Alligator mississippiensis: one gene and its partners. The protein of the gene in region 2 interacts with the protein of the main gene of each other region in a pairwise test. Links are inferred from orthologs where the notes say so. Each region holds a gene or a part of one and is shown on either strand. Other genes may lie near its edges.

Region 1 (10,002 bases), on a different chromosome or scaffold from region 2:
GGGCAGAGCCAGGATGGGCACCCAGGAATCCTAGCAGATAGGCTGAACCCAAACACTGCCTGGTAGTTTGGGGTGGGGGTCAGCCTCTAACTCTGGGCTCCTGTCCCCCCAAAAGCTGGGCAGGGCAGGGCCCAGTCCTAGCAGGGCTCAGTCATGCTGCTTGTCAGAAGTGAAGGTGCTGGCTCTGGGCACAAAGGTCTCTGCCACCAGCAGCGGGAAGACCAGGGAGGCGTCAGCGTAGACCTGCAAAGCAGGGGGTGAGTGCTGTGCTTCTGCCACCCCCCAGGCTCCTGTTACGCTGCCCCCCCCACCCACCTTGACTGGCTTGGCATCCGTGCGGATCTTGCCCCAAGAGACAGCTTCATCAGGACGGGCACCTGAGTCAGAGCCGTCAAACTCCTGCGCCGTGTTCACATAGACCGAGAAGTCAGCACCGTTGCGCTGGGGGAGGGGGAAGGGCAGGGTGTCACCTCCCCAGAGGCAGGGAGGGGAGGGGGGTTCATCCCAAACCTAACAGGCCCCGTGACCTCCCCATCACCATGGGCAACAGAACCTTCTCTCCCCCACTCCTTCTCACCATGAGGTTGGCATTGGCAATGTGATGTTTGACCAGGCCCCCACCCAGAATGATCATCCCCGTCTTCTTGGCGAACATAGCCTGGGTATTAATGAGCCGTAGGTCTGTCCGGGGAGAGAGAGAGGAGAGGAGACAGGCAGCGTGGGGAACCCAGGCAGCCCTACTCCCCTCCCAGAGCTGGAAGAACCCAGGCATCCAAGCTCCCTGCAGCAGGCAAGATGCTGCCAGGAAAGGTTGCCATATCCCAGGGGGCTGGAGGGGAGGCAGCCATAGGGGGCAGGATCACCCCTACCCCCCCAGCCCTGTGGGGCCTGGCCTCACCTTCCACGATGTCCAGCACCAGCCCTGGCTTCTTGTAGGAGTGGAAGAAGATCATGTCTCCCAGTGAGCCATCTGTCAGTGCCGGGCTCAGCACCGGGATGTTGTTCTGGGGGTGAGGGAGGGGTGGCATCAGGGCTGGAGGGGGGAAACCCCCTTGCCCCGCAGTGTCAGCTCAAGGAGCAATTCCACGGAAAAGCCAGGAAGGACATCCAGGAGTCCTGGCAGCCAGGCTGAACCCAAACCCTGCCTGGGAGTTAGAGGTCAACCTCTAACCCTGGGCTCTTATCTCCCCCAAAAGCTGGGCAGGGCAGGGCTGGGCTGTGCTGCTTGTCAGGGTGGGGGATGTTCCCCTACTTTGCCCTGCTCTCCCTACCAGCCCAGCCGCCCCTCCATACCTTCTGGGCCCAGTAATAGACCGACTCAGGGTTGTTGATCTCCTTGCCGAGCCGCGCGATCATCTTGGATGGCGTCCACTTGACGCTCTGTGGGAGACGGCCACACCCACTGTCACCAGGGGGGCTGCCCCCCCAGCTCAGCTGCCCCAGGGCTCAGACACTTGGTGGGGAGGGGAAAGTTCCCAGGAGTCCTCAGACAGGAAAACCCACTGAGAGAACCCAGGTGTCCAGGCTTCCAACCCCCTCCAGCTCTAGCCCACACAACTCCCCTCCCCAAGCCACACCCAGGCATCCTGCTCCTACTACCAGTGTCCCCCTCCTCACCCAGAGAGAACCCAGCTGTCCTTGCCCTGCCCTCACACCTCAGTGTCTTGTTCAGCCACCATCTGATCCAGGATGGGCATGAGCCAGTCCTCAAACTTGCAGTAGTTGTCATTGGGTACCAGCAGGTTCCCAATCCTGCAGGGACATGGCCACAGCTCAGTCCCTGTCCAGCCAGAGAACCTACATGTCCCAGCTCCCTGCCTCCCTCCCTTGCTAGAGACCCCGAGCATCCGCTCCCCTCCTGCTCTGACCCGCCAGATCCCTTCCCCAACCTTGACCTAGGAAGAGAACCCAAGTGTCTGGGTTCCTTCTGCTCTAAGCCCCTTAAATCCCACCATCCCTCAGAGCTGGGGAGAGAACCCAGGCATCTGGGCTCCCACCAGACCCATCCCCTTCCCCTCCCAGAGGACCCAGGTGTCCAGGTTACATCTACTTCATCCCCCCCAAACCCCACCCCTCTCCAGAAGTAGGGAGAACATCCGTCTACCAGAGGCCCCCCCCACCTGTTGATCCCGCTCTGTCGAAGCTCTTTCCCACGCAGGCTGAAGTCCCCGATGTAGGTGGGCGCCAGGCACTTGATGAGGTCCTCCTCCACGCCCCCTGCCGTTGTCACCAGCACGTCCACCTGCACCCACCCACACCATCAACCCAGGCCCTGGTGCCCCCAGCCCTAGGATCCCTGGGATCCCTGCCACTGCCCCCTCCACCTATGCTGGGATAGGGGGAGACCCCTCTCTAAAGTCTTTGGGGTTATTCCCAAAGCTGGGGGGGTGGGGATCAAATTTGGGGGAGGGGAACTGGACTATACCACACTGTACTGCAGGTGGGAGGGAGTGAACTGGGCCATACCATATTGTCTCTATGGGGGGGCTGGGCCATGGCTTGAACTGCTGCAGGGGAGGAGGGAATTGAGTCATGTCATGTGGGGGGAGCTAGACTATACCACGTTAGGCTAAAGAACGGATAGAGCTGGACCACACCATGTTGTGGGAGGGGAGCAGATAGACCAGGGATAGACAACGTTTTTTGGCCAGAGTGCTGAAAAAAACACAATATCTACCTTGGAAGGTACTGGAGTGCTGACATGCCAGAACCCAGAGCAGCTGGTTGCAGCCTTCCAGCTGCAGCCGGCCCACAGAGCCCAGTCTGCTTGCAGCAGGGCTTGCAGCCTCTCAGCCACCTGCTGGGAGCAGCCTGGGCTCTGTGCCTGGCAACAGCTGCTTAGAGCCTGGGCTGGCAGTGGTGTGCCAAGCAAAATGGCCTTGTATGCCATGTTTGGCACACGTGCCCGGGGTTACTGACCCCTGGGAAAGACTATGCCACGTTATACTGAAGAAGGGTATTGGGCCGGAACCACATAGTGTGCCTTAGAGAATGGAACGCTGGGCTGTACCACATATTGTGGAAAAAGGGGGGTAGACTGTATTGTTTGGGGTGAGGGGCATGCAGAGCCATACCATGTTGTGCTGCACCAGGTAGCGTATGGTTTCACGGATCCCAGAGCTGATGAGGTTAGATGTGTAACCCAGGAAGATGGTGCAGCCCGTGGGTGGGCGCTGACAGGGGTTCAGGTCTGCATGGTTCTCCTCGTCTGCTACCTCCCCCAGTGGCTCCAGCTTGGCATCGATCTGGACACGCAAGAGACCCCGGTCAGCTTGGCTTTTGGGGGACAGGACTTAACCTATTACCCCAACTGCCTTCATCCCTGCCCCAAGAAGGAGCTGGCTGTAGGGAAACTGAGGCACCCCCAGTAACCTGCCACCAGCAGTGGCAGAGAAGAGAACCCAATATCCTGGCCCCCAGCATCCCCTGCTCCCCTCCCAGAGCTGGAAGAGAACCCAGGCTTCCTGGCTCCCCTCCACCGCCGTCTCTAACCCCCCAACCTCTCTGTCCTCCCAGCCCCGGGGGCTGGTCCTAATTGCTACCCTTCCCCCCACCCTCACCTGGCCTCTCTGCCTTCCCAACCTGAGGACCATAACCCAGGCATCCGGGGCCCCCTCACCATGCGGTGGATCTCACGCACAGCTTGCCCAAAGCTGGTGGCTTGGAAGCCTGTGGTGAGGAAGGAGCGGAGCAGGGCGTGGTGGTCAAGGCCATGGTCAAAATCGTAGCCACGCACAGGTAAGCTCTCAGGGGGCAGCGCCTCACTGGGCTTCAGCACCGCCGTCAGTGCCACTGCTGGCAGCCCCTCCATGGCCTGGGGAAAGGAGACAGATCAGGGGTGCACAGCCCCCAAACTGCCCCTGAACTGTCCTTCAAGCACCCTCAGCCTCTCAAGCCTCCCTCACCCTGCACTACTGCCCCAGGCACCCCCTTTCCCCCAGCCCCCCCAACTACCCCCTCTCCCAGCCCCCTGCATTACCCCCCAGCACTCAACTACTCGCCCCAACCCCCAGCGCTCCCTGCAGACTCAACTACTCGCCCCCAGCGCTCCCCCCACACTCACATGCCCCCCCCAGCGCTCCTACAACCCCAGCCCCCGAGAGGCAGTGCAGAGTACCTCGGCGGACCCGTGGCCCGTATCTCGGTTCAGTCCCGTACAGGTGGCACTGCCGGATAGCTGGGCGCCGCCATTTTGCTCCGTACCAGCCCCGCAGGGGTCACGCGTGCGCTGCCGTGCGGAGTGTCCGTACGGCTGGATAACGCCATTTTGGCTTTCCATCCTTCCGCAGTGCAGCATGCGTAAGTACCATCATCTTCCCCGAGCCGGCTACGGCATTCGCACAGGGTCCTGCAGGGCTGCGCAGGGAAGAGCGTCCGTACACCCAGGCGCCATACGCCGAGGCGCCACCATCTTGCCCTGCCTGCGGCCGTACACTCTTGGGCGCCGCCATTTTCGAGCCCAAGGCGAGTACGGAATCCTTGAAGGCTCAAACGTTATCTCGTCTGCTTTCCCAAGCCGTGTGCCAACTTCACTGCGGCTCAGCGGCTGCAGTGAGGGGAGACAGGGCGCTTGGGTTCCCTCCCCAGTGAAAGCGGAGGCGTCTGGGAAGCAGCATCCAAATGCCAAACCATGGTTTGCCCCTCTGCTCCACCCGCCCGCCGGTGGGTGCAGCTTAATAGAACAAGCCTGAATCGCTCCCCACCACCCCAAATTTGCATGTGCCAACATGATCTCATGCCTGTTGCAGGGCGCAGCAGGCTTCAAAAGCATCAAACACCTAAGCGGGGCGGGACGCCAGGGGCTATAGCAGATGCCTGGGTTTCTGAGCAGACGCAGCAGCTCGCCCAAGAGAGCACCACGATCCTGTGCCTAAAGCTGAGAGCCAAAGCGAGTGGAGATGTTGAGCCCCAGCTCAAGTCTGGGATCATGCCCGGTATGCAAAGGCCAATAAAGATACCAGGGGTGAAAGTACAAAGAAGGTTTATTGCGAGCAATAAAAGGTGCAAGCGGAATAATTCACGTAACAAGCACACCAGATCACTATTTCTAAGCATCTTTTATACAGGAGTTTTCAAGCCTTCGCAAGTGTGCTTATAACTTATAACCAATCATCAAACGAAGATTGGTTATAAGTGAGTGACGCAAGAAGTTCTTTACTGAGCATGTCTCTATACCTGTGTTTTAGCCATGTATCTCATTTACATACATGTGTGTTTCATTAGCATACTTTTTCCCCACCTAGGGGTGTGATTTTTAGTATTTTAATGAGCCCTTTAACCCAGAACTGTTTCTTCTTTTGCTTTCAAGTCCCCTTTATCCGAGACTGTCTCCTCCTTATCATTGCAGATGGGCATTTTTCACATAGCATTCTCTTCTTCTTATCATCTCTGAGTAGAGGTTTCTAGGTCCCTCCTTACATTTCCCCCCTTTGGAGCATTTTTAATTATTATTATAATTGCTCCATTCAATTTGGTTTAACACAAATCTAGTATCATCAGCTTTCTTTGTTTGTAAAATCATTTGATTTACCTTAGGCCTGAAGATAGATATAAAAACAGGTAAGTATTGGATATTTGACTGGTCTCTGTCACAACCCAAAGTTGTGATTTTTTGTTTGTGTGCGCTTCGGCACTGCTAAATTATTTTCCCGCTAAATTGCAGCTTCTTTGCACGGTGGAGTTTTCTGCTGCAGAAGAGAACCCCGGTGCAACGGAGAATTTCCCGCCAATTTGAAGCTTTCTTTGCATGGTGCATTTCTTTTTGCATCTAAGAAATGCTCGGTGCAAGGAGTTCCCGCCATTTGTATGAAAATTCGAGCCACATTATTGGCCAGTTCTAAAATATGCACACGTGGCGGCTAGCGATTGGCTTGCTAGCCGTATAAAGAGCTTGGGTGGTTTCCGCCCAAGTTGGAGAGAAATTAGAGTGAGAGAGAAACCTTCGCCTTGCGTGAAGATCTCTAAGCGCTGCGGATCCTTACGGACTCAACGCATTTCTTAAAAGGCAACAGAGGACTGAACAGCCTCTGGCCTCTCCCCATCGCCAATAGATTCCTAGACGTATCCCTTCCTGCACGAGAAACTACCGAACCCGCGGAGCTTCAACAACTCCGTGGGAAAGAACGAATTTGTCGTAGTCCTCTAACGAGGATTTAAGCGGAGCTGTACCTGGAAAACTGTCCAGCCTACACCACGACCACCTTTGGTGTAAGTAAACAATCTTTGAATCAACCATTACGCGTCCGTGACTAATTCTAGCTCGCCTCCGGCTTTCTCCGACCCCGTGTGCCCAAGCTGCTGGCCACAGCCCGCGTGCACAAAAGGGCCCGGATCGCTCCCGGCCCGCACAGTCTCATTACAGAGGACATTTTTACCTTGGTTCAATTTAAGGGAGTTACCAGTACAATTAACCATTAGGAAACATTCGGAAGCATTAGCTGTTGCCTGAACCCGTAAGGAAAACATGTTTCTGCTTTTATCTTTTACAATAGTCCCCCAATTATATATATTCTGATACGTACTTTCCTTATTTATATCTTTCAGCATAGTATAATTTTGTAAAATTTTCAAAGGGGTTGGTACTGCGATTAAACATGAGGTAAAAACCAGGTGAGCATTGATCCCTCCTGCTAAGCAGAAGTCTGTTCTATTTAAAATTTCCCGGGCCAGATAAATCCAGACATTTTCCTGAGGGTCAAATTTTTGTTGTAAAAGGTTTTCCCCTCTTATGAGAAGGAGTGGACAGATCAGGACGCCCCACAATAAAACCTTGACCAATTTCATGATAAGGGCTGTAAAACTTGATCAAAAAATGACAAATTATTTAAAGTTCCTTTCTTCTGAATAGGAATTTTAAGTCTCTTATTGGCTCCACCTTCCACGGTTCTCTGCCTCCAGTCCCGGAGTCTGCAGGGGTTCCTTCTTGTTCTGGTCCAGCCACCAGCTTTAGGCGACTGGAATGTATCCAAGTCTTGATTCCCTCGAGCTTTGCTGCCGTCGGGGTCGTCAAGAGTACCCTATATGGGCCCTTCCATCTGGCTCGAAGTGGTTCCTCATTCCAGTCTTTCACAAGGGCGTAACTCCCAGGTAATAGTCGGTTTTCCGGGGCAGGAGATTAATCCTGTGACTGCAGCACGTCCCGTACCTGCTGGTGGATGGAAGACAAAACAGAAACCAAGGACCATACATATTCTCTAATCATTCCCTCTCCTAAAACATGTAACTGTTGTTCAGTACCCATGGGCAGACTCAGAGGGTAAGGCTTACCATACATTATCTCAAACGGACTTAATCCCAATTTAGAATGTGGTGCGACCCTTACTCATAACAGGGCCAAGGGTAGGGCCTCTGGCCATTTGAGTCGAGCTTCTTGGCAAATCTTTGCAAGGTGTCTTTTTAAGGTCTGATTCATACGTTCCACCTTTCCACTGGACTGGGGTCTCCAAGGGGTGTGTAAATGCCAGCTGATTCTCAGGAACTCAGAAACCTTCTGAGTAACTTGTGCAATGAAATGTGGGCCATTGTCTGACCCTATTCCTTTTGGAAGTCTGAAGCGAGGTATGATTTCTCGTAGGAGCGCCTTGACCACCTCTCAGGCTTAGGCAGTCCGACATGGGAAGCACTCAACCCAATTAGAGAAAGTGTCCACAAAGACAAGGAGATATCTCATCCCTTGTTGCCGGGGCAACTCGGTAAAATCCACCTGCCATTCTTCTCCTGGCCCATTGCCTATTCTCTGATGTCCTGGAGTTTCTTTTTTCCCTCCTTTTGGGTTATTTCTCTGGCAGACCTCACATGTCTCTGATACCTTCTTGGCAGCCTCTTTTAATCCTACTCCAGTTACATAGTGACTGATCCATCTTACCAGGGCCCTGGGTCCGTAGTGGGTGTCATGATGAGCGCTCTTTACTACCACATGAACCCAGGCAGCTGGGATGATAATGTGGCCATCCTTTGCTACTAGCCACCTGTGCTCCCCCTTCTTTGCTTGAAACTCTTTTATTAATTGTTTGTCTTTTTCCCCATACTGTGGTGTCACAGGCTGGTATAGGTCTGGGAAGAGAGGTAACAGATTACTTACTTCGGGCAGCAAGTCTGTCTGAGGTCTTTTAGCTGCTCTCTTTGCCATAGCGTCAGGAAATTGATTACCTTTTGTGGAAGGGTCGTTCCCTTTCTGATGTGCCTTACAATGCATTACTGCTACCTCCTTCGGTTCTCAGACTGCCTTGAGGAGAGCTTTTATTTGCTTGCTATGCTTAATGCTTGCTCCTTTAGCATCAAGTAGACCCTGCTCTTTCCACAGCGCTCCGTAAGCATGTAAAACAAGGAAAACATATTTAGAATCAGTATAAATATTGACAGTTTTGTTGGCTGCCAATTGCAAAGCCTGAGTCATAGCAGTGAGTTCAGCCTTTTGAGCTGAAACAGATGGGTTTAAAGGTCCTGCTTCTATCACATTCTGTGTAGTCACGATAGCGTATCCGGATTTTCGAATTCCATTCTCCATACTCGAGCTGCCATCCATGTAGAATTCCAGTTCAGCATTGTCAAGGGGTCGGTCTCTCAGGTTTGGTCTTGAGGAGTAAACAGCTTCCAATGTTTGCAGGCAATCATGTACAAGATCCGGTGTGTCAGCCATAGGTGGCAACAGTGTTGCTGGATTTACAGTGCGAGAAATGGCCAATTTTATTTCAGGCTTATTGAGGAGGATGGCCTGATATCGAGCCATTCGTCCCGGAGTTAACTAGTTCCCTCCTTTCTGCTCCAGGACTGTAAGCACTGCGTGAGGCACATATACAGTCATTTCATGGCCTAGGGTTAACTTTTCAGCTTCTTGTATTAGCAGACAGGTGGCAGCAATGGCCCGGAGACAAGCAGGCCATCCGGATGACATAAGGTCTAATTGCTTAGAAAAATATGCCACCGGTCGCTGCCAGCTACCTAATTTTTGTGTTAATACTCCAACGGCCACCCCCTTTGGTCATGCACCAAAAGGGAAAAAGGCTTACTCATGTCGGGTAGTTCTAAGGCAGGTGCTTCAATAAGAGCCTGCTTTAACTGGCAGAATGCTTGCTCACACTCTTCAGTCCATTCGAACACCTTTTCATCACCTTGTGTAGCTCCATACAGAGGTTTTGCAATAACCCCAAAATTTGGAATCCAAATCCTGCAAAAACTTACTGTACCTAAGAAGCCCCGTAGTTGCTTCTTTGTTTTTGGGGTTGCTAGCCGGCATATAGCTTCTTTTCTTTCAGGCAACAGGGCTCTCTGACCAGGGTGTAGTTCAAATCCCAAATATGTTACCTTCTGGGACATTGGTTGCATCTTACTTTTGGACACCCGGTATCCTTCTTGTCCCAGAAAATTAAGGAGGCAGATTGTTCCCTCCAGGCAGCTTGCTTCAGTGGTGGCTGTTAAAAGCAAGTCATCCACATATTGCAGAAGGGCACAGGACAGTGGCAGTTTTAGCCTACGTAAATCCTTGCTTAATGCAGTGCCGAATAGGGTTGGGCTGTTTTTAAACCCTTGGGGTAAGACAGTCCAGCAAAACTGAGTCTTAATGCTAGTATCTGGGTCTTCCCATTCAAATGCAAATATTTCCTGAGATTGCCTCTCTACCGGCATACAGAAGAAAGCATCTTTTAAATCAATAACCGTGAACCAGTTATGAGCTGGGTTCAAGGCAGACAGCAGGGTGTATGGGTTGGGGACAACCGGGTGTATACTCACGACCACTTTATTTACAGCTCTCAGGTCTTGAACAAAACGATATTCGTCACTCTTAGGCTTCTTCACGGGCAAGATGGGTGTGTTAAAAGCTGATGTGCATTCACGGAGAAGGCCATACTCCAGGAACCGTTCAACTAATGGCTTCAGTCCTTTCCTGGCTTCCATCCACATTGGATATTGTTTCACGCACGGAGGCTGGTCCCCTGGCAAAAGTTGAATCTTTACAGGGTCAGCATTTTTAGCCTTCCCGGGTCGGTGACCTGCCCATACCCA
Region 2 (9,502 bases):
GAAGGGGGAAGCTCCTCTCAAAAGACTAGTGCTTGACCTCCCATACAGCTACCTTGTGTTGCTGCCTGGCTTCAGGTAGCAGCCTTCAACTCCCTGCTTGTTGAGGAAGGCAGAGCCGAGGGAGCGTGATCGGCATAAGAACATGTGGCCGAATCAGACACCTGGAGGCCATTAAATCCAGCTCCTTGCCTGAGGCAGGATCATTCCTATCTAAACCCTCCCACGCAGCTTCTTGACCTGTTTCTGAAACTACATTGCCAGGGCTTGCCATAACTCCCCATAGGTCATCAGACCCTTTGCCTTGCAGACACCAGGTTACATATATGAAAGGGACTTCACTTGCCCTTCCCTTGGCTTGTAGTAGCCCCACAAGCTGGCTGCTCTCTCCTCCTTCTCCGAGTAACTACCGCCATGAATTAGAGGCACACAAAAATCATCATAGCAGCTAGCGAGCAGGTAGAGCTACATCAGCCTCTCTCAAAGCCAAAGGGAAAAGCTAGTCCAACAGCCCCATGCTCCTGCCCCAGTCAACCAGGTATATGGTCCCACAATTGACAGGGTTGAGAAAAAACATATAAGAAAGTCCAAACCTCTTTAATACACCTTGACCACCTTCTGCTTGAACCCAAAGGAGACATCCCAGACCCAGAGGCAGCCCCCAAGCCAGCAAAGGGCAACACAACCATCCTTGCTCATGGGCTCCTTCTTCCCCCACCTCAAACACCAGCTTAGACAGCTGCCTGAGGCCCCATTCAGCCAGCAAGGAAATAATGCTACACAAAACCTCCCAAGCTTGTCCATCAACCTGGGAGCCCAATAGTTCCCCAGCCAGCCAGCTCAGGAACCCCTGAACAGTGAGCGAGAGCCCAGACAGCTAGTCCAATGCAATTAGATGCCAGAAAACCTCTGATACCACCTCGACCATAATTCTGCACCAAACCAGCCATCCAGGCAGCAACAAGACGGGACATGGGAGGGGGTCAGTTTGCCCCGCAGGCCAGCCATCCAGCCAGGGGACTCTTTCTCCCCTTAAGTTAGCTAGCTGGCTATCTGCCTCCCCTCCCCCAGCCAGCCAGCTAGCCACAAACCTTGGGATTGGGATGGGCTGAAACCCTCCTGGTGAATTCCCCACCAGTGCTCACGAGCTCCTAAAAGTCCCCAGCTCTGTTGGTGAAGCCTGCTAGAGCTGATGGCAAGTACGGGCCCTGCACAATGCAATTTTGTGCCAGAAAGCCCCTCCAATACCAGCACCTGGACCATAATCTGTCCAAGACAGCTGGCCACAAGCTTGCAGGGGTGTTGGGCTCCCATGCCAGCCAGCCCCAAGCCTTGGGGTGGGGAAGAGTGTGGTCTCCCTGAAACCAGCCAGCTGGAAACCATTTGCTGGGGGAGGGTTTCCCCAAGCCAGCCAGCAGTAAGACTAACCTCTAAACTTTCCCAAGTGCTCCTTTTTATTCCCACACTCTAGCCAAGACACAGATGCTTGGGGCAGCTCTTGAAACCCCAGAGCCAGGTCTAGAGAAGCACACAGTCCTCCGGCATGATCGCTTCAGGTTCAGCCCCTCGAGGGTGGCACAGGCAGATGGCAGCCCCTGCTCCCTCTAGGCCAGACACGAGAAGCACCCACTCCTTCTGGCACGGGGCAGGGAAGGTTTTGCGGGCTGTGACTGGTGAGGACGTGCCCCACGGGAAAGCCACGGGTCCTCCCTGCTGCGGTGGCCCAGATGTCTTTCTTTCCAGGTGAGCCGTGCGGGGCTCACTGCATGCTGCGGGCTCTGAGCTTCAGCCAAACCTGGGGGAGAAAGGAAAGGCAGCGTTCAAACACCAGCTCAGCCCAGCGGGGTAGGGTCAGCCCCCACCTCATGGATGGGGCCATCACACGGCCCTTAGTCCAGGCTCCTGCTGGGCTTTCTACTGGCACCAGTCACCCCTGGCCTCCCAACAGGGTTCACCCTCCTGCCAGAGCAGCAGGAGCCCCTGCGCTCTATCCCAGCTCTGCCCCCAATTTGATGCATGGGCCTGGATCCCAGGCTCCCCAGCAGCAACAACCGGAGGATCGGAGGTTCATGCTGGGAGGCTTTCCCAAGCACAGCTCACCCTTGTCATCAGCTGCAGAGAGCAACAACAGCCACAGAGCTGAGGCGCTGCAAAATCTTGCTCCTGAGAGGTCCCTCCTTCACCCGCCACCACTGGAAGCTCTGGTCACGCAGCTCCGGTGGAGTATCCTGGGTGCTCTGGTCACTGTGCCCCACCGTCAGCAGCACGTTGAAGCAGACGCCATCAGCCTTCCCTGCCTCCTTGCCCAGGTGCTGCAGGCCCAGGACCCCCTGGGCTGTCACAGTCACTGGGCCCAGCAATACGCACTCGCAGAGCAGCCGGGCTGCTGACGCCCGCAGGCCCCGGCGCATTTCTGTTGGGGTTGTGCTGCAGGCCATCACCGGCAGGTGCAGGGCCCCTGCTGTGCTCATCAGCACCCACAAGTCCCCGGTGCTGTTGGTGAAGGCTGCCAGGAGCCGCTGGCAGATCTGGGTGCAGGGCATTTCTGCTGGCAAGGTGGGTGGATGGGATGGGCGGGTTCGGTACCGTGCAGCCAGGTCCAGAAGGGGTAGGATGTCCGGCGCACGCAAGGGCAGGGTGGGAGACTCGCGATCCCACCACCGGGCTTGTAGAGACTCAGCGTCAGCTTCCTGCAGCGTCTTCAGGCTCCCACCTGGATGAAGGGATAAGAACAGGCTCTGACGGTGCTGCGCTCGGGGCCCTGTATTTTTAGCATAGCTGAAGGCTTGCCCTATCCTCCCTGCTACGTATGCCAGGGCCAAGGCCAAAGCCAAGACGGAGCCCTCCCTTGCCCAGAAGCCCTCAGGTCTGGTTCAGCTCTGAAACCAATATTGCTCCTTCTTCCATGCTTCCCCTGGCTCTTCCAGCCTTGTGGGCACTGCTATGCCAGCTGCCCACAAGGCTGCTCTCAGCTTCTTGACCACCTCCAGCTGGCACAGTACTGTAACCCTCCCGTCCCGCTGGCTGCAGGGCAAGGGGACTCACCTGTCGGCTCAGCAAGGAAGACAAAGCGGATCCAGGCAGGGCCCCTCTCCTCCACTGCCAGAAGGGTGAGGGGATCGCACTCCAGCCCCGTCTCCTCTTTCACCTCCCTCCTCATGGCCTCCACAATGGTCTCGTTGGGCTCCATCCTCCCAGCAGGCAGGTACCACATCCCATGGCACTCGGCCTTGGCTTCCTGCATCATCAGCACCTCGTTCTGGGAGGGAGGAAGAATCACAAGTCATGGTCAAGGAGTCACTGGCATTCTGGGACCAGTACAAATTTGGAAAGGGGCCAAGTCAGGCCCTTCCCCTCACTGTCTCCATCTCTAGCCCAGATTCGAGGGATCAGCTTGCTGAATGGGGAGCTATGAGAGGTTTCCTTGAGTAAGCCGACCCCCCCTGCTCTTCTGGAGGCATCTGCAGCGGGCCGCGCAGCCTGAGGCCGCTCCCCAGACTGCAAAGTCTCTCATCTTCAGTCTCGCTTTTTTTCAGACGTCAACAAAAAGGCGGCACAGCAGGTCCGGGGGGTGGATTTGCAGCAGCCCATGCTCGGAGGGCAGGAGGGAGCTGCGTGCTTTCTGTTCTGCACAGGCTCCCCCTGCCAGGACGCGGGGCACCCACAGCACACGCACCCTCTGCCCCTTCCCAAACGCAGAGCCCGCCTCACCTGGTCATTGAACAGGAGCGCCAGCACGATGTAGCAGGCGTTCCTCCGCAGCCGCACGGGCTGAGCGGGCTCTGGCGCAGAGTCGTACCTCTCCTGCACGGCCCATCCTCTCCCTGCCAGCACCGCGTCCAGCTCCTCCATGACAGCCTCGGTCTGGGGGGTCAAGGGGGGGCACGGCAGCTGGACAGGGACCTGGGTCACAGCAAGCCAGGCAGGCAGGGGCTGGAGCTGGGCAGGTGCAGCAGGGCTGGGGAAGGGGGAGCTTGGGGAGCCCCTGCCCTTGGTCCTGATCCCTGTCCTGCCCCCCACGCACACTCACCCCAGCTGGAGCAGACTCACGGAAGAGACCTCCGCGCCCTACTCCCATTGGCTGGCTGGGATGCCACGCTCGCCTCCCATTGGCCATCCCCATTTTCATTCAGCCCTCAGCGACTGCAGATGTTTCTTAAAGGGGCCGCGACCCCGCACCTGAGCGTGGGGATCCTCTCAACAGGGGCTAGTGGTGGCAGTGGTCCTGAGGCATCTCAGGGGTTCATAGGGGCAGATCCTGAGGCATCTGCTGCGGGGGGGCAGGAGGAGGAAACGTGGGACAGTGCTAGTGGTTAAGAGGCACTTAACCCCTGGGATGCCCCAGAGCCACTGGCACTGCCTCTATTAACCCTTAAGATGCTGCAGGACCACTAGCACTGCCCTTATGACCCCTTGAGATGCCCCCAGTGCCCTTGGCAGCACTCGGGGTGGGGGGTCCTAGGGGCAGAGCAAGTGGCCCTGGGGCATCTTAAGGGTTAATGGAGTCAGTGACAGTAGTCCTGGGGCATCTCAGGGGTTAATAGGGGCAGTGCCAGGGGCCCCGGGGGCATCTCAAGAGGTCATAGGGGTAGTGCCAGTGGTCCTGCAGCATCTTGAGGGTTAATGGGGGCAATTCCAGTGGCCCAGGGGCACCTCAGGAGCTAATAGGGGCTGTGGAATAGCCCCTATTTGGGGTCTCTAAGATGCCAGGGACCCTAGGGGCATCTCAAGGGGTCATAGGGGCAGTGCAAGGGATCCCGGGGATATGTCAAGGGGTTATGGGGCAGCACCAGTGGCCCTATGGCATCTTAAGGGTTAATAGAGGCAGTGCAAGTGTCCCTGGGGCATCTTAATGGTTTATAGAGGCAGTGAGAGTAGCCCTGGGGCATCTCAAGGGTTAATAGGGCACTGGGGACATTTCAAGGGGTCATAGGAGCAATGCTAGCGGTCCTGCAGCATCTTAAGGGTTAATAGAGGCAGTGTCAGTGGCTCGGGGGCATCCCAGGGGTTAATAGGAGCAGTGCCAGGTGCCCAGGTGCATCTGAAGGGGTACAGGGGCAGTGCTAGGTGTAGGCAAGGCTTGAGGGCTCCTATCAGGACACTCATAGCTCCTCCCTTTGGGGTCAGGAGCTGCAACCCCCACGGCCTGTCTCCTTCTCTCGTGGGGGCATCCGGTGCCTGTCCTGGCATCGCTGCAGCCGGAGCATGGTGTGAGTGGGACCCACCACCCCTCTGCTCACAGCAGCCTGCATGGAGGCTCCTGGTGCCAGCCTCTGCAGGGCCCTCATCAGCCTGATTGCTTTTCCCCATGGGAAGCTGGCATCCACGCAGCACCGGACAGCAGCTGGAGGGTGCCCACACTGGCCTTTCCTTCACGTACCTCCTTGCCATCCTGCCCTGCAGGGTCTGCCCTCTCCTGTAGCTTGATTGCACTGACTGTAGAAAGCCTGAACGAAATGCACCCCTGACCCCTGCACCCACTCAGCCACGGAGTACAGGGCCTCCACGCAATGCCACGCGGCAGCTAAACGGAGCATAACTGAGTGACCAGGGAGGTGGCAGGGCTGAAAGGTGCCAGGAACTGATGGGGCTTATGCACCTCACCGTGCTCATAACAAGGGAACCAACAGGCCACTATCGGGTCTGGAGTTCGTTTTGCCCTGTTATCCGGTGTGGGTGTAAGGGGAGCACGCTGTGCCAATTAGTGTTAGAAGCACCTCTGTCAATCCTTCAATCCTATCTACTTTATTGAAATGCCTAAACACAGATATTTGAGCTGAACTTTAGGCTCCAGTGGGAGAAACATTGATTTTTTTGCTCTTTGACTAGGCCAGCGTTGTTCTACTATCATGATGCTGCCTCCTGTCGCTAGCTAATGGTTAGTCCAGGGCTTCCTTACAAGGGTTTCCCTTATTGGGCTCAGCAGAGCACACCAAGCATTTTGGATGCTTCTTCACAGCGTACCTGGAAATCCTACAGCAGACTGGAAGCTGAGATGTGGTAGAGATGGCACCCCTGCGTCTTTCAGATGGCTTTACGTGTTTAAGGCTGAAGTGCACGCAGTGGTATTTCTGGGTGACGTAGATCTAGCATTCCCCTATAGTTAAGCCAAGGTCTCAGCCTAGGGAGCATGAGCATTTTTAAAAACTTACCTGCTGTTACAGTTTCACTCCTACCCCACCAAACACATTATTGATCGGGGGGGGGGTTCAGCTACACAGCTGGCATTGCAGCCATCCCCATGTACAGCAGTCATGCTGCTCCAGGGAGAACGTGGGGGCTCAACCCACACTCCTATTCTTGGTGGCACCAGCACCACCCCCATCCCAGGCACCCCCACACATGGCTTCCTGTACCCCTACCCAGGGGAGGCAGGAAGGAGACTTAGAAACCTCCCCTTCCACATCACAAGATTGACAGGGTTAAAAAAAAAGCAAAAATATGTTTATTTGACAGCATAATTGGTAGAAATTGAAAAACACACACACACACATAAACACGCCCCCATTGCCCCCCTGAATTGCTCTGGGTGACAAGTTACAGAAAGGACCTTCTTGGGGACACTGACACCTTTGTCTCCAACTGCAACTAGGCAGAAGCAAGTTTTTTTACATTCATGGGAAAACACATTTCTCCCATTCAAACACCAACCCAGCGGGAGCAGTGCTTCGAAACAAGCACCCGTTCCCCCCATGGTGGCTGAAGTGCACCGCACAAGGAGCTGGTGGAATTGATTTCACTCCTGGAGACCGCCAGGTGCTTACATCCTGATCTTGCAATGACTGGCTTGGCCCAGGTGGACAGCACAGCTCTCACTCTGTACCCAGGTCTCCCTCCCTGCAGGCCTGTTACAACCCCAGCTATGGAGCCCGGCACACAGGGTGCAAAGGCCCAGGCTTTGAAGGATCCCAGGTTCAAATGCTGACACAGTCCTGCTAAGCTCAATAGTGCAAGGGAAGGCAAACCCTGAGTTCCTGACTAGGAGCTAAGACCTGGCACTGAAACCCTTGGTGATTCACCCAGCACCTGAGAGCTGAAGCCTGGGAGAGCATTCAGTTCAAACCCGCCTGTCAAGCTGATTTTTGCAGGTCAATGCCCGGAGCACAAGGAAAGCGCTTGAGGCCCAGAGAAGGGGGGTCACTCCCTTGAGGCGGCACTGAAAGCTTTCATGTCCCCATTTGCCTGCCCCGTGCTCAAGCTGTGAAGCTGCGGCTGCTGTCATGTTAACTGGGTTAGATCACCGGATTCCCAGGGCTTGAGTTTGCAACTGGAGAAGGTGGAAAGTGAGTGTCACTGGGACGTGAGCTGGATTCCTCCAAAGAAATGAATGCATCTACTCCAAGCAGAGCCTCTGCTCACTTTTGAGCCCCAGAACGCAGGCTCACAAGAGCAACTGAACACAGGCAGCGTGCTTGGGGGAAGTACTAGGAACCTCCCCCATCCTTTAGACCTCTGGGGACGTAGCCAGCATCCCCACTTGGCCGCTCACCTTGCCCAGCTGCACAGCGGGCAAGGTGCCAGCTGAGATCTGTATCATGTCACCTAGATACAGCTCTACTGGGCTAAAAGCTGGGCTGTCTGTTATCTTTGATAGGCCCTGTGAGATGAATGAGAAGCAGGGACACCTTGTAAGAGACTTCAGAGGACTCAAGAACACAGAGCCAAACAGCTCAGAGCCTCTCCTGAGCAGCTCCATGTCCCTTAGGGTCTAACAGTGTCTCTGGACTCCAGTGCTGAAGCTTTTCCCCCATGTGTAAGGAGGCATGAGAGAGGGCTAGCTCCTTAGGCTCCAGCTGGTGCCACCTTAAGCCACAGTAGGTTCCCCTTAATGCAGGGAAAAGCCTGTGTCTCCAGCATCTGCAGCACATCTGGAGGCTCAGAGAAATGCAAGCTGGAGGAGAGCCACCCACTGGGACATGATCCCAGATGGATCTGCTGCCATGAAAAGTTGAGGCCCAAGATGTTCAGAAGGACCTATGTGTCTTCCCCAGCACAGCCCTGGCCTGCCCAGTTTTAGTGCCACTGCAGACCAGAGATAAAAACCCACAGACGATTTCCAAATAGAAAGGCGTCGTCATTCACACCGATCACCACAGTGTGTAATGAAAACAGGTATAAAATCCATCCAGCGTGATCCACACGCAGCAGGAACAGCAGAAAGATGCCTGGACTGATATGTATGTACACAGCAAGGTGTCCTGTGAGCAGGGGTACGCGTGCAGCCAAAGGAGCCGGCTACATGGCAGACTTCATCTCCCATTCCTGAAAGAAGCAAACAGAGCATGATTATTGTCCATGGGTGGGGTCAGGAAGGAGATCCCCAGCTCCATACTGCACCATGGGGTATGTTTTTGGCAAGAGGAGCAGCTGTCCATGGCCCAAGAATGGATAGCAGCTGGGCAATGAGCTCATCTGTTATTCCAGTGCAACCTTTTCTATGCTTTATGGAGTTTCCTGATAAAAACTAAGTTAAATTTCAGTTGCTGTGATGGGAGGGCAGGCAGCCCTACGTGGCACTTGCAATTCTCCTCAAAGCAAGCAACGAGAGCCCATAGAGTCCAAGTTCAAGTTACATTTAAAAGAAATGGAAACATGGGAAATGCACAGTTAATGGGCTCAAACACACTTAACTGCCCACAAGTGCCTTTGCCCCCTTCCACTGGACCATAACAGCATGGTTGCAATTCAGGCGTTATTCTGCTTGTGTCCCCCAGGGAAGGTATTTAAAGACATCAGATGCTCAATTTGTTTGCCTTTGGCATGAGTCCAGAGCAAGGCCTGAATTAACAGATCTTGTTATGGCTCTCAGTGGGTGAGCTCTTCTGCCACTGCACTCCAAAAGACTAGTACAGTGCCTCCCAACCTTTCCACACTCAGAAAATACTAGCTCTTACTTTTCACTCACCTTCACCCTGCAGCAAAATACTAGAGCAATTCTTCCACTGCAAGGAACTCAACAAAGACCACAGCAGGACAAAACGGTTTTAACACTAAGGCTGACTATTTGAAATCTCAGGGTTTAGCTTGTGAATCATGTTTGCATGTCCAGTGGTGCTAACACTGTATAGTGGCACCCTTGAAAGGATCTGAGGGCGTAACAGGGTGCTGCAGCACCGTGGTAGAGGATCACTGGACTAGGAAAAGAGAAGGCACACAAGTTCAAAGCCAGCAGACCCTGGGCAGCAGAGGGAGGGCACTACTGGTCAGGTAAGTGGCTGGCTGTAGGTGGATGCTCAGCTCCAGTTAGGGGTCTAGGAGTTAGCTCAAACAGTCCCTGACAATGGCCAGCATCCATCAAGCCTCTCCCACCTGGAGCATGACCCCCTGAGTGGGACAATACAGAGAAGACCCCTATCGTACCTTTCTCTTTTGAAGCACCTTCCCCTTCTCAATGATGACGACGGACGGTGCCCGCTTCAGGGTGCCCTTGGCAGAGGATGTGCGCTTCAGGAGAGGTGTCAAGAAGGAGCCCTGTTTGTGAAGGGAGAATGGCAAGGCTGAAGGA
Region 3 (9,683 bases), on a different chromosome or scaffold from region 2:
CTCTCCCCTTCGCCTGCTCTCTACTGCATACCTCATTTGACAGAAGTGGGCTGCTCCTCAAAGACATAGCCAATAATATCAGTTACCTCCGGAAAAAAATGCAGCCTCCTGGATGCGAGGTTCTGGAAACTTTGTGCATACTGCAGAAACCAACCGCAGGTCACTCCCTGTTCCCTCCTCAGCTGCTCGGACCAGACCTCTGCTTTAGTCCCGGACAGCTCAAATGCCAGGGGAAAACAGACACCTTCCCCAGACAAAGGTTTCTGCCACCACTCATCCATCTCTTTACATACACACAGGGGCTAGAGGAGATAAGGCAGAAAGCATGGCCCTGGGCTCAAAGCCAAGGACAAGAAGCTGAAGGCGTTAAGACACCTTTCTTCCCGAAAGGCAGCCCATCCTGATGGAAAAACACAACCAGCCTCTCCCCCATCCAAAGCACCAGCAGGTCTGCTGTCCCCAGCCATTGGGGAGCACAGGCGTGGAGTACGTCCTGCCTGCGCATGGACACTCAAGGCCAACACTAGAGCGAGCCAAGTCCCCAGGACCGGTACCAGACAGACCTCCCAGGGTGGGAATCCCGTAGGATCTGCCAGGAGCCCCTTGGCTTTCTCCTCAGGGCCACAGCAAAGCGCCGGCTACTGCTTGCCTGAACTCTGGTCCCTTCCAGCCTTGGAGGGGGGAGAGAGTAAAGGGGAAAAAGAGAAGGGGGTCATAGGAAAGTGAGGTTGAAAGGCACCTCACAAGGTCATCAAGTCCCTGCTCAAGGCAGGACCACCCCTGCCTAAACCATCCCAGTGAAGAGGGCACCGTTGGGAGACTCTGCAACTTCTCTGGGAAGCCGAGGCGAGCCGGGCACAGGGAACAGCGGGGAAATGCAGAGGACCTCGCGCCCCGGCTCTGCCAGCTGCTGTCCCCAGGGGCATGATGCTCGGGGGGTGAGGGGCGAGGAAGGGTTTGCGCGGGGTGCGGTGGAGCGGGGCCCACCTCAGTGCCCTCCCGCAGCCGCCGAGGGCAGGGGCAGGGAGGGCAAAGGAAAGTTTCCGCCCGCAGCAGGGGGACGCCTTGCAGACCTACCCTCGCCACATGCTGGCTCAGCAGCCCCTGAAGCGCAGCGGCGACGGCGGCGGCGGGGCTCTGCAGCGCGGGGCTGCAGCCCGGCCCGCTCCGGCGCCGGCTCCGCCCGGGAGATGGGGAACGGGTCACGTGCCCTCGGGGAGGCTCCGCTTGCAGGATGCAATGCCCCGCTCCTCCCTCCCGGCCTCCGCCGGCTCCTCGGGGTGCCCCGGCTGGGGTGGCCTTCCCCGTCCCAGCAGAGGGCTCCCAGTCGGGGCCCGCGTGCGCATGCAGCAGGGGGAGAGGTGGCAGGCTCCCAAGGGCCTGGCAGCACTGTAAAGACCCCCGCCTGAGGATGTCAGGGGGCTCCCACCCCCGCGAGGGCAGGGGAAGCCTTAGGCGCCCCAAGTTCCCCAATGATTCCTCCACCTTGACAAGGAAGCGGGGACCCAGCCCAGGAAGTCGCTCACTGGCCTCCCTTAGGCGGGGAGGCCACAGGCAAAGGGGACAGCAGAATCCGTGGGACAAAGAATGATAAAAACACACAGGGAGGGGAGGAGTGCCTCAGAGGTTCAAAAGAAGCGTGCCAAGCAGGGACACGGCGCGCAGCAGGCCGCGGGCAGTGCCAAGGAGCCAGCAGACGCTGCCCAGCTTCGACACGGGAATGGAGCAAGGAGAGGAAAGTGGCCCTGCAGACCCACCCGGCCAGCAGTGGTGACATGTAGGGGGTGCCTCTGAGACTGGCAGTGCACCCCCTGACACCGGATGCCGCCAATGGTGCCAGTGATGCCTGCCAGTGGTCACCGCTTGCCACCCTCCCCTTGCCGGTGATACTGCCAGTGGCATCTGCAGGTGGTTGCCAACTGCCAGTCAGTGCTCGCCACTCCTCCCCTGCACCAACACTGCTGCAGTGGCCTGTGGGTGGCCCCCACTCAGCCCACCCTAGCCGCCAACATCAGTGCCTGTGGGAACTCCCCGCTCCCTGCCACCGCACTCCCACCCCCAGGGCCGCGCCACGTCCCCCCAGCCTCGGCAGGCATGAGGCATTCATGCCGGCCAGACCCTCCTTTCTGGTCAAGTACATGGCCAGCTTGGCTAGGGTCCATATTCTAGGTGTCAACTCCCACCACTTGGGAGCCCATGTTGTATTTAACCTTTGTGGGGGAGACCCTGTTTGATTTATGTTAGTTTTATTACAAGTACTCAGTGCCTTGGTACTATGGGGATCCTGCCTGTATGTTGCGGTTGTTGTTAGTGCAATTCAGATGCCCTCTGGTGAAACACCACTGAGATCAGGACCTGTTTTGTTAAGCCCGCACACAGAGTAAGCAACATCTCCTGCTGAAAAAGGAAAGCTTGCAAGCACCCTCATTTTAGAGATGGGGAACTGAGGCACAAAGATTTTGTGATGTACTCAAGGTCACACACAGAGACTGTGGCAGAGCCAGGAATTTATCTCAGCTCTCCTGAATCTTAGCCCAATGCTGAGTCACAAGACCGTCTTCCAAACCCCTGCAAATAGGCATATGGAAACAGACGTGTGGAGCTAGAGGCCAGCACATCGATTTCTCAGGGGAAGGCAGGCACGGTGGTCAATTCTATCAGCCTAATGCAAGAGTTGTGAGAGTGGCTGTTTCTCAAAAAGCTCCAGTGGTTGGAATCAAGTGACTGCAGGGGACTTCAATTAAAAAAAAAAAAAAATAGATAAGATTCAAGTTTCTAACCCCCATGATTGCAAAGAAAAGCTTAAGAAGGTGAAGTTAAAGCACACCAAGAGCTTAGAGACAAGGAGACAAGAAGGCAAAATGGAACAGAATGGAAAGGAAAGGAAGTTTATTTTTATCTTTAAAAAAGAGTTTCATGATTTTAAGCCAGTCCCCTGATTTGAGAGGTCCTGATTCATAATGTCTGAAGGCTTGGGGTTTGCACTGCTGGACTTAACAAAAAGACTTGCCCCTATAGCTGAGATCCGCAGGAGCTGATATGCCCTTTATTCTGCTGTTGGAACAGGAGAAGCAGTTTTGGACAAGCAGAACGCCAAGCAGCCCAGCTGGGGGTCATAATGTATGGCTGGGATTTAAATTGGCACCAACAACTGCAACTTCTTTCCCCATTGCCCACCCCCATTTCCCTGACTCCAGCACATCCCTCCCACCACTGAAAAGGACTTCATCCTCTGAATGGGAAAATCTGGAATTTAAAGATGCAGTAAAGTACAAAAAACAGAGACAAAGCAGCTGAGTTACAGTGCCAGCTACCTGTGTCAGGATCACTGAAAAAGGAGGTACTAGGATTAAGATTTTGAGAAGCTAGACTATCAGTGCATGACCTTTCCCTTCCTCACGCACTGCCCCAGCCCCTGCAATGAATGCTGACCATCAGCCCCTTACCCTTTTTCACCCCTCAGCTCCACCTCAGACCAAACCAAAGCACCATGCCCTTCCCTGATGCAGTTCAAAACCCTTACATCTTAGGTCTTAACCAACTTCTTCCTACCTTCCTACAGCCGAGGGCCCCTCTCCATCCTGTGATGCCTCGACAGGACATTCACACATGAGAACACCGGCATTCCAGGTCTCTGCTGTCCCTTCCCTTGCTTTAGCTCCAGATGGGTAATCAAAAGCAGATAGATTGTACACAGTGGTCCCTGCATCCATGGCGAAGCACAGCTGGTGACGTAATGCGGTGACTGAGGGTATCTTACAGTAGAGCCACTCACAGGAGTCCATGTCATCCACAGGTGTGGGTCAGTCGTTCCACTACACCTTCAGGATCCATGCAGGCCTCTGGGAACAAATAACAGGTCAACAGGAGGGGCATGGAAAGTGGAGGCCTCCCTTTTGCCCTGAGGCCCAAAGTCCTGCCTGTCTCCTCTTTTGCGACACCGTGGCCCTAACCTTTGCTACCTCCAAGAAGCATCAGGGAGTCGGGGAAAGTATCCTTAGCTTCGCAAAGCAACACATTAACTCATTGCTCCATGTAATTATTAACTCCCAAGGCTGGTCTCGTAACCACTGAGGAATCTCAGGACTGGAAGGGAGAACTCTTCCAAGAACACACCAAGTGCAAGAAGAAAGAGAAGGCTGAGGGGGAGGAAGCAACTAAAACAGACAGGGCAGGGAGGGTGAAAAAATTGACCTCTCCAGATATTCTGCTCTTAGAGACAGATGCTGGAGCTAGTTGCCTTTGTGCCCCGCCTCCAAGTGTGAAGTTGAAGGAACAGTTAGGAACCGGCAGTGAAGGGCAAAAATTGCCAGGTCTCATATGAACACTCCTAGGCTTTGAATCCTGGTCTTCGTCCCTCAGCCACTGCCTTTGAGTAGTCTCATACTGTAGCCCATCTGAAGCAGTTAGAAGCAAGCCTCTGCTGACAGTATGGCTCCTTATTTGTCTTTTTCTCGGCAGCTTTGCCCAGGCCTGCTGTGTCCAATCGTTTTCTTACTAAAACTCCCACGTCCACTTTCCTGCTCCTTGCACTGACACCTCGTTCCCTCTCCTCCCCTCCAATCCCTTCTACCATACTAGCAAAGGTCAAGCAGGACATAGGAACAGGCCACAATCCTTCTCTTGTGGGCAGCATCACCAGACTCATACCTAAGCTCCAGGTACAGCTCTTCCTTCTCTGACAACAGGGTGCACCTGGGGCCTGAGCAGTGTGGACTGACTTCCCCACAGGACAGGCTGGGGGGTCACCTATGGCATTCTGCTGATATATATACACCAGGCAACTAGAGGAACCTCAGACAAAAAGAAGAGACCTCAGTTTTCTTTTTAGTTCAGTTCCTTGCATCCTGGATTGCAGACCTTAAGACAATAATATCCACGCTGACTCTCAGGCTCTACCTCTCTCTCTCTTCCCCTTCCCATGCACCCTACTGATGCATATGCACATACTCCCCTGCCCCCAGGCACCGCATAATTGCAGAGTGACCCAGAATCCAGCATTTGTTGTAAACAAGGTGCAATTCTGCCCTTGGTAGCAACAGCAGCTGTCTGAGCCAGGATGTACTGCCCAGCACTAGCCAGACCATGCAGCTCCAGGGCACCATCATCCAGCCCAGCTCTGACTTTTCAGAATGGATCCTACTATTCCTGGCTCAGCCTCATCCTTCCACCTCAGGCTTGGCAGGACCTAGACAAGAAGCAGAAACCCCAGGGAAGGGATCCTTAAGCTGAGGGACCTAGGCTAGGAGCTGGTCTCCACCCCAGAATCAGCCAACCCAGACAGGATGTTACTGCCATGAAAATAAGAGAATGAAAACAAGAAGTTGGAAATCCAGGCTCCTGCCGCCCACTCACTCCCCCTCCCTCCCTGCCTCAGCCAGCTGTGTGGAATGTTTGCACAACTGGCTGGAACATTTTTAGTGGGAATTCCTTTGGGATCTCTGGATCTGGGATCTCAGATTTCAGCAGAAATGGGAGGCTGGAGTGGAGGCAGTCATAAGGAAGCCGCTTTTGCCAGAACAATAAAAAAAACAGCTGCAGCCCCCTTCAGTGTATCCAGATGAAAGAGCAGATCTGGTATGAGGCACAGAGACTGTCCAACAGCAAAAGCTCAATCCCAGTGGAGCTGCAGGAAGAACAGGAGGCGGCGTAGTTGGGACACAAGTGCCACACGAATAATGCAGATGTTGGCCTGAAACTGCCTGGGCCCTGGCACTGAAAAGAGACCTACCAGTGAGCCAGTGCTTTCTGCCAGCTCAGCAACTGCACAGCAGCTCCAGGGGAGGGAACTGAGTTCTCCTGCTTGGAGCCCTGCTGTTATTTTGCAGGGGACAGTGTGAACACAAAGACTGAAGCAGACTAAAAGAAGAGGGGGAGCAGCAGGGGCTGGTCTAAAAAAAAGGAAGAGCTCCCCTCTGCTTTTAGCAATGGAGGAGCTGCACTGTCTCCCACATTCCTTCTCTGTAACCTCTGTCTGAACCTATCTCAGTGCCCAAGCCTGTGGTTCTCCTGCTCCCAAGCTCCCCTAAAACACTTGTTTGGCCTTCAACTTCAGATACAAACACAGCAGGAGAAGAGGAAGGTAGTATTTCTGATCAAGGCACAGATTTGCATTGTAAAGGATTAAGATTTGGTTCTCCAGCTCTGCCACAGGCTCCTGTATGACCTCAGGCAGATCACTTAATGCCTGTCTGCATTTCCTCTGTAGTGAGGCCAGGAGGACCACCAAGAAAAGAATTCAGACATGGCCTATGCAGCACTGCTCTGCACATATTAAGATTCCCCAGGTACTCGCGACCCTTCTGACTGGGTACACAGTCTAACTTCCAGGCTTTGGCCTGGACTGGGTAGGCTCACACGGGTGGGATGCTCTTCTCAGTGCTGCTCTAGCATTTGCAGAGTCAGAATAGCTTTGGTCTCAGTGGGCACGTTTATATGAGATGCTTACTGTGCAGTAGCTTGTTTCTACTGCACAGTACCATCGCCGGACATAAACCGTGACACGACACTACTGTGCAGAAATGCCAGTTGCTGCATAATCATTGAATACTTGGTTATGCCAGTACTAAATGACTGCACAGTAACAACTGCGCAGTGGGCGGCTCGTGTAGACGCATCCAGTGTATCATAATGCCCCATGTCTAGAAGAATATCTTTTACCCTGGGTTTGTCCAGTGGGCCTGAAGCTTTTCTGCAGCAGCAGCTAGAAATCCCAGTGAGGGAAACTGGGCTAGACACTGTACAAATATATCATCAGAGACAGTCCTGGCCCCAGAGCTCACAGTTTGAATAGGAAAGAAAGACAACGAAGGAAAGGAAGCGGTAAGTTTGCCTTGATGCCTTTCTGGAGGAGATGCCTTAGCCAAGCAGAAGGTGGGAGATGCCAGTGTGTTATTGTTTTAGCCAGACAATATGGGCCTCTGTTTCTTTGCAGACTGGGTACAGAGAGTTAATTCAGTCCTGGCTGGTTTGCAGAAATACAGACAATGGGTAGAGTTAGCCCCAATCACTGATACTGAGCAACGAAGGTGTCAGTTCCTTTGTAGGCTTATCCCCATCAGGCACTGGTTGGAAAGCCAGCTTGTAAACCTAAGGTTGAGGGTGGGGGCACTCAGAACAGGGTGCCCTTAGTGAAAATGGCAGCTATTAAAACCCACTTCTTTGAGGCTGGGAGAGTTGGAGGAGGGTGTGCAGAGGAAGAGGTTGTATTATGGTTCCCAGAAGCATGAGGGCAGCTAAGATAACTGGGAGCTACCTAATCTTGAGGGAAATGCTAAGCTGTAGGTGAGATAACACAGGCCTAAGCTTTTGTTGCTGTAACCCTTTCCTCTCTGATGACTATGAGACAGAGCCTGTTCAACTTACTATGCCTACATGGACTTAGGTGCCTAAGGGCCAGATCCTTTTCTACCTCTTAGGCATCTAAGAGGACTTAGGTGTCCAAGTGTGATCCTATTTCACCCCACTTCAATCCATGAAAAATAATGAATGCAGGAGGTTGGTCGGTCCTCCTCCTGCTCTTTTTTGTGGTTTAGTCTTAAGGCTAAGATGATGGCATGTTATAGAACAGGAGCAGGCAATGTTTTTTGGCTGGAGTGCCAAAAACCCCACAATGTCTACCTTGGAAGGTGCCGGAGTACCAACATGCCGGAGCCCGGAGCAGCTGTTTGCAGCCTCCTGGCTGCAGCCAGCCCACAGAGCCCGGTCTGCTTGCAGCAGGGCTTGCAGCCTTGCAGCCTCCTGCTGGGAGCAGCCTGGGCTCCATGGCTGGCAGCAGCTGCTTAGAGCCCAGGCTGGCGGTGGTGTGCCGAGCAAAATGGCCTTGTGTGCCATGCTCAGCACACGTGCTGGGGGTTGCTGACCCCTGTTATAGAAGAAGGATCTGACCCTGCATTCTCAGTGATCTGTAAAGAATGCTGTTCCAGTCACTGTCTTTTCACATGGGTCTTAGCACCCGAAGGAAAACAGCTGAGGAAACAAGAGTGATAAACAGAAAGTATGGGACTTGGAAAGAAGCACACAAAGAGAAGGAGAGCTTGTCCACGTAGGGAAGTTATTGCTAGGTGTGAATTTTGAGCCAGGCAGCTATGCCACATGAGTTCTCTTGTTCCCAAGTGGACGGAGCTAACCTGCACAAGGACACTCTCAGCATGGAATGAGTGTCCACCAGTAGCGTAACTTGGTGAGAGTGAATGGGGCACCAGCCCTGGGTGCCAACTTAGTGGGGGCACCAGAATCATCCCCCACCCTGTGGGGTCTGTGCCTGACAGGAGAAGTAGCCCCAAGGCTTGCTGCTTGAAGCAACAGCCAGGTGCACCAACACTGCACTGCTGCTATAAGAATGACATTGGGAAAAGGCAGACCACACTGTGGAAACAGCAGCTGAGGACTGTTTTTAAGTCCTCAGCATAGCTAATATTCCCACCCCTGGAACCCCTGCAGCATTCAACAGCACCTTCTCCCCCTTTTCCTCTGCCTCTCCCCCTGGCAGGGTTTGCCCAGGGTGCAAACCCTGCTCTTTATGCTTCCAGTGTCCACATACAGAATCAGTGTAGATGACTATATTTAGCAAGTAGATGACAATTTAGCATTCCAGACATTTTCCTGGATCCAGACAAGCCCTGAGAGAGAGAACAAAGGTTCTGCTTATGCTGGAAGTATGACACAAGCTGCTGGTCTCCATACAGAGGGACGTGAGTGAGCAGAATGGCCTGTAGTACAATGGAGGTCAGGACATTCAGAGCCAATCAATCTAGTAGTTTGGGAAATGGTGCAGCCTACTGAACTAATGGCTTCTCTTGGCCTTAAACACCCTGTAAAGGGGATTATTAGGCCCTTTTTACAGATTGGGAATAAAAAAAACTCACTTGCCTTGGGTTGCACAAGGAGTCTAAGATGGAGACATGAACTGAACTCAGGACCCCTGAGTCCCCATCTCCCATCTCAATCACAAGTTCAGTCCTTCCCGTTTTACCTTTGTGCAAACCTGAAACTCAAGACAACATTTCTAGGGGGAATGGATGAGAGTGGAGCCATGGGAACTGCCAGGAAAAAGTTCAGATGACAGCTAAAGCAAGGGAAAAGAAGATCAGGGGAAAAATCAGACCTCTGTCTTCTCTGCTAAAGCAGATAGCTCCCCCCACTTCCTAGACTGGGAAAACAAATGCGGCAAAAGATTATAACACAGAACTCATAAGTGCTGTGAGAGTTGGTGGGGGAATCATAAACCAGGTCCTGTTGCCCAGCCCCTCTCTGAGAGACTCCACTGAAAGTGACTTGAGCTCAGGGCTTTCCATGAAGCTCACGAACAGGGAGCAGTCTGGGAGTTTTCATAAAGCCCAATCCAGCATCTGTATCCTTTTTTAAAATGGTCCTTGTTAGCTCTGATCCCAATAGTAAACCCAGCTTGAACACAATGTCAGGTCAGGTCAGGTCAGTCCCAAGGCTGTTGCGACCATTGGAGCACCTTAGATGTTGTAACAACTCTCCTCCTCTCTGCCCTGTGTTTGGCAAGCTTTGTGCACTTCATTAGTTGAAGCCCTGTCCTGTCTTTAATACTGGTTCCCCAGCTTTTCTCAGGTCTACCTCTTTTTATTTTTCCCTCCACTGTGCCCTGCATTATGGTGTTGGCAAGGGCTGTCCAGCCTTCTTGTGATTTCATAGATTTCATAGACATTAGGGCT

What was found.
Region 1: the proteins of NUDT18 (region 2) and DHPS interact in binary tests that used the Homo sapiens proteins (3 or more experiments, as listed by UniProt). The two-hybrid records come from large-scale screens. The link is inferred for Alligator mississippiensis from reciprocal best matches to the Homo sapiens genes NUDT18 and DHPS.
Region 3: the proteins of NUDT18 (region 2) and RAB3IL1 interact in binary tests that used the Homo sapiens proteins (3 or more experiments, as listed by UniProt). The two-hybrid records come from large-scale screens. The link is inferred for Alligator mississippiensis from reciprocal best matches to the Homo sapiens genes NUDT18 and RAB3IL1.

What each region holds. Positions count from the first base shown.
Region 1 is NC_081831.1:22,865,982-22,875,983, reverse strand, and holds the start of DHPS (deoxyhypusine synthase), read right to left. Parts: upstream 4,403-10,002; 5' UTR 4,298-4,402; coding exon 4,118-4,297; intron 3,815-4,117; coding exon 3,620-3,814; intron 3,246-3,619; coding exon 3,075-3,245; intron 2,243-3,074; coding exon 2,121-2,242; intron 1,753-2,120; coding exon 1,656-1,752; intron 1,381-1,655; coding exon 1,294-1,380; intron 1,005-1,293; coding exon 899-1,004; intron 682-898; coding exon 578-681; intron 442-577; coding exon 316-441; intron 244-315; coding exon 148-243; 3' UTR 1-147. UniProt on the Homo sapiens protein: Catalyzes the NAD-dependent oxidative cleavage of spermidine and the subsequent transfer of the butylamine moiety of spermidine to the epsilon-amino group of a critical lysine residue of the eIF-5A precursor protein to form the intermediate deoxyhypusine residue.
Region 2 is NC_081830.1:18,804,449-18,813,950, forward strand, and holds NUDT18 (8-oxo-dGDP phosphatase NUDT18), read right to left. Parts: upstream 4,068-9,502; 5' UTR 3,850-4,067; coding exon 3,709-3,849; intron 3,257-3,708; coding exon 3,043-3,256; intron 2,711-3,042; coding exon 2,106-2,710; 3' UTR 2,098-2,105; intron 1,793-2,097; 3' UTR 1,429-1,792; downstream 1-1,428. Other genes in the region: actin filament-associated protein 1-like 2, read right to left, coding at 8,233-8,259, 9,358-9,468. UniProt on the Homo sapiens protein: Mediates the hydrolysis of oxidized nucleoside diphosphate derivatives. Hydrolyzes 8-oxo-7,8-dihydroguanine (8-oxo-Gua)-containing deoxyribo- and ribonucleoside diphosphates to the monophosphates. Hydrolyzes 8-oxo-dGDP and 8-oxo-GDP with the same efficiencies.
Region 3 is NC_081825.1:179,117,970-179,127,652, forward strand, and holds the start of RAB3IL1 (guanine nucleotide exchange factor for Rab-3A), read right to left. Parts: upstream 4,044-9,683; 5' UTR 3,786-4,043; coding exon 3,553-3,785; intron 1,193-3,552; exon of another isoform or gene 1,089-1,192; coding exon of another isoform or gene 1,078-1,088; intron 168-1,077; exon of another isoform or gene 140-167; coding exon of another isoform or gene 87-139; intron 1-86. UniProt on the Homo sapiens protein: Guanine nucleotide exchange factor (GEF) which may activate RAB3A, a GTPase that regulates synaptic vesicle exocytosis. Promotes the exchange of GDP to GTP, converting inactive GDP-bound Rab proteins into their active GTP-bound form.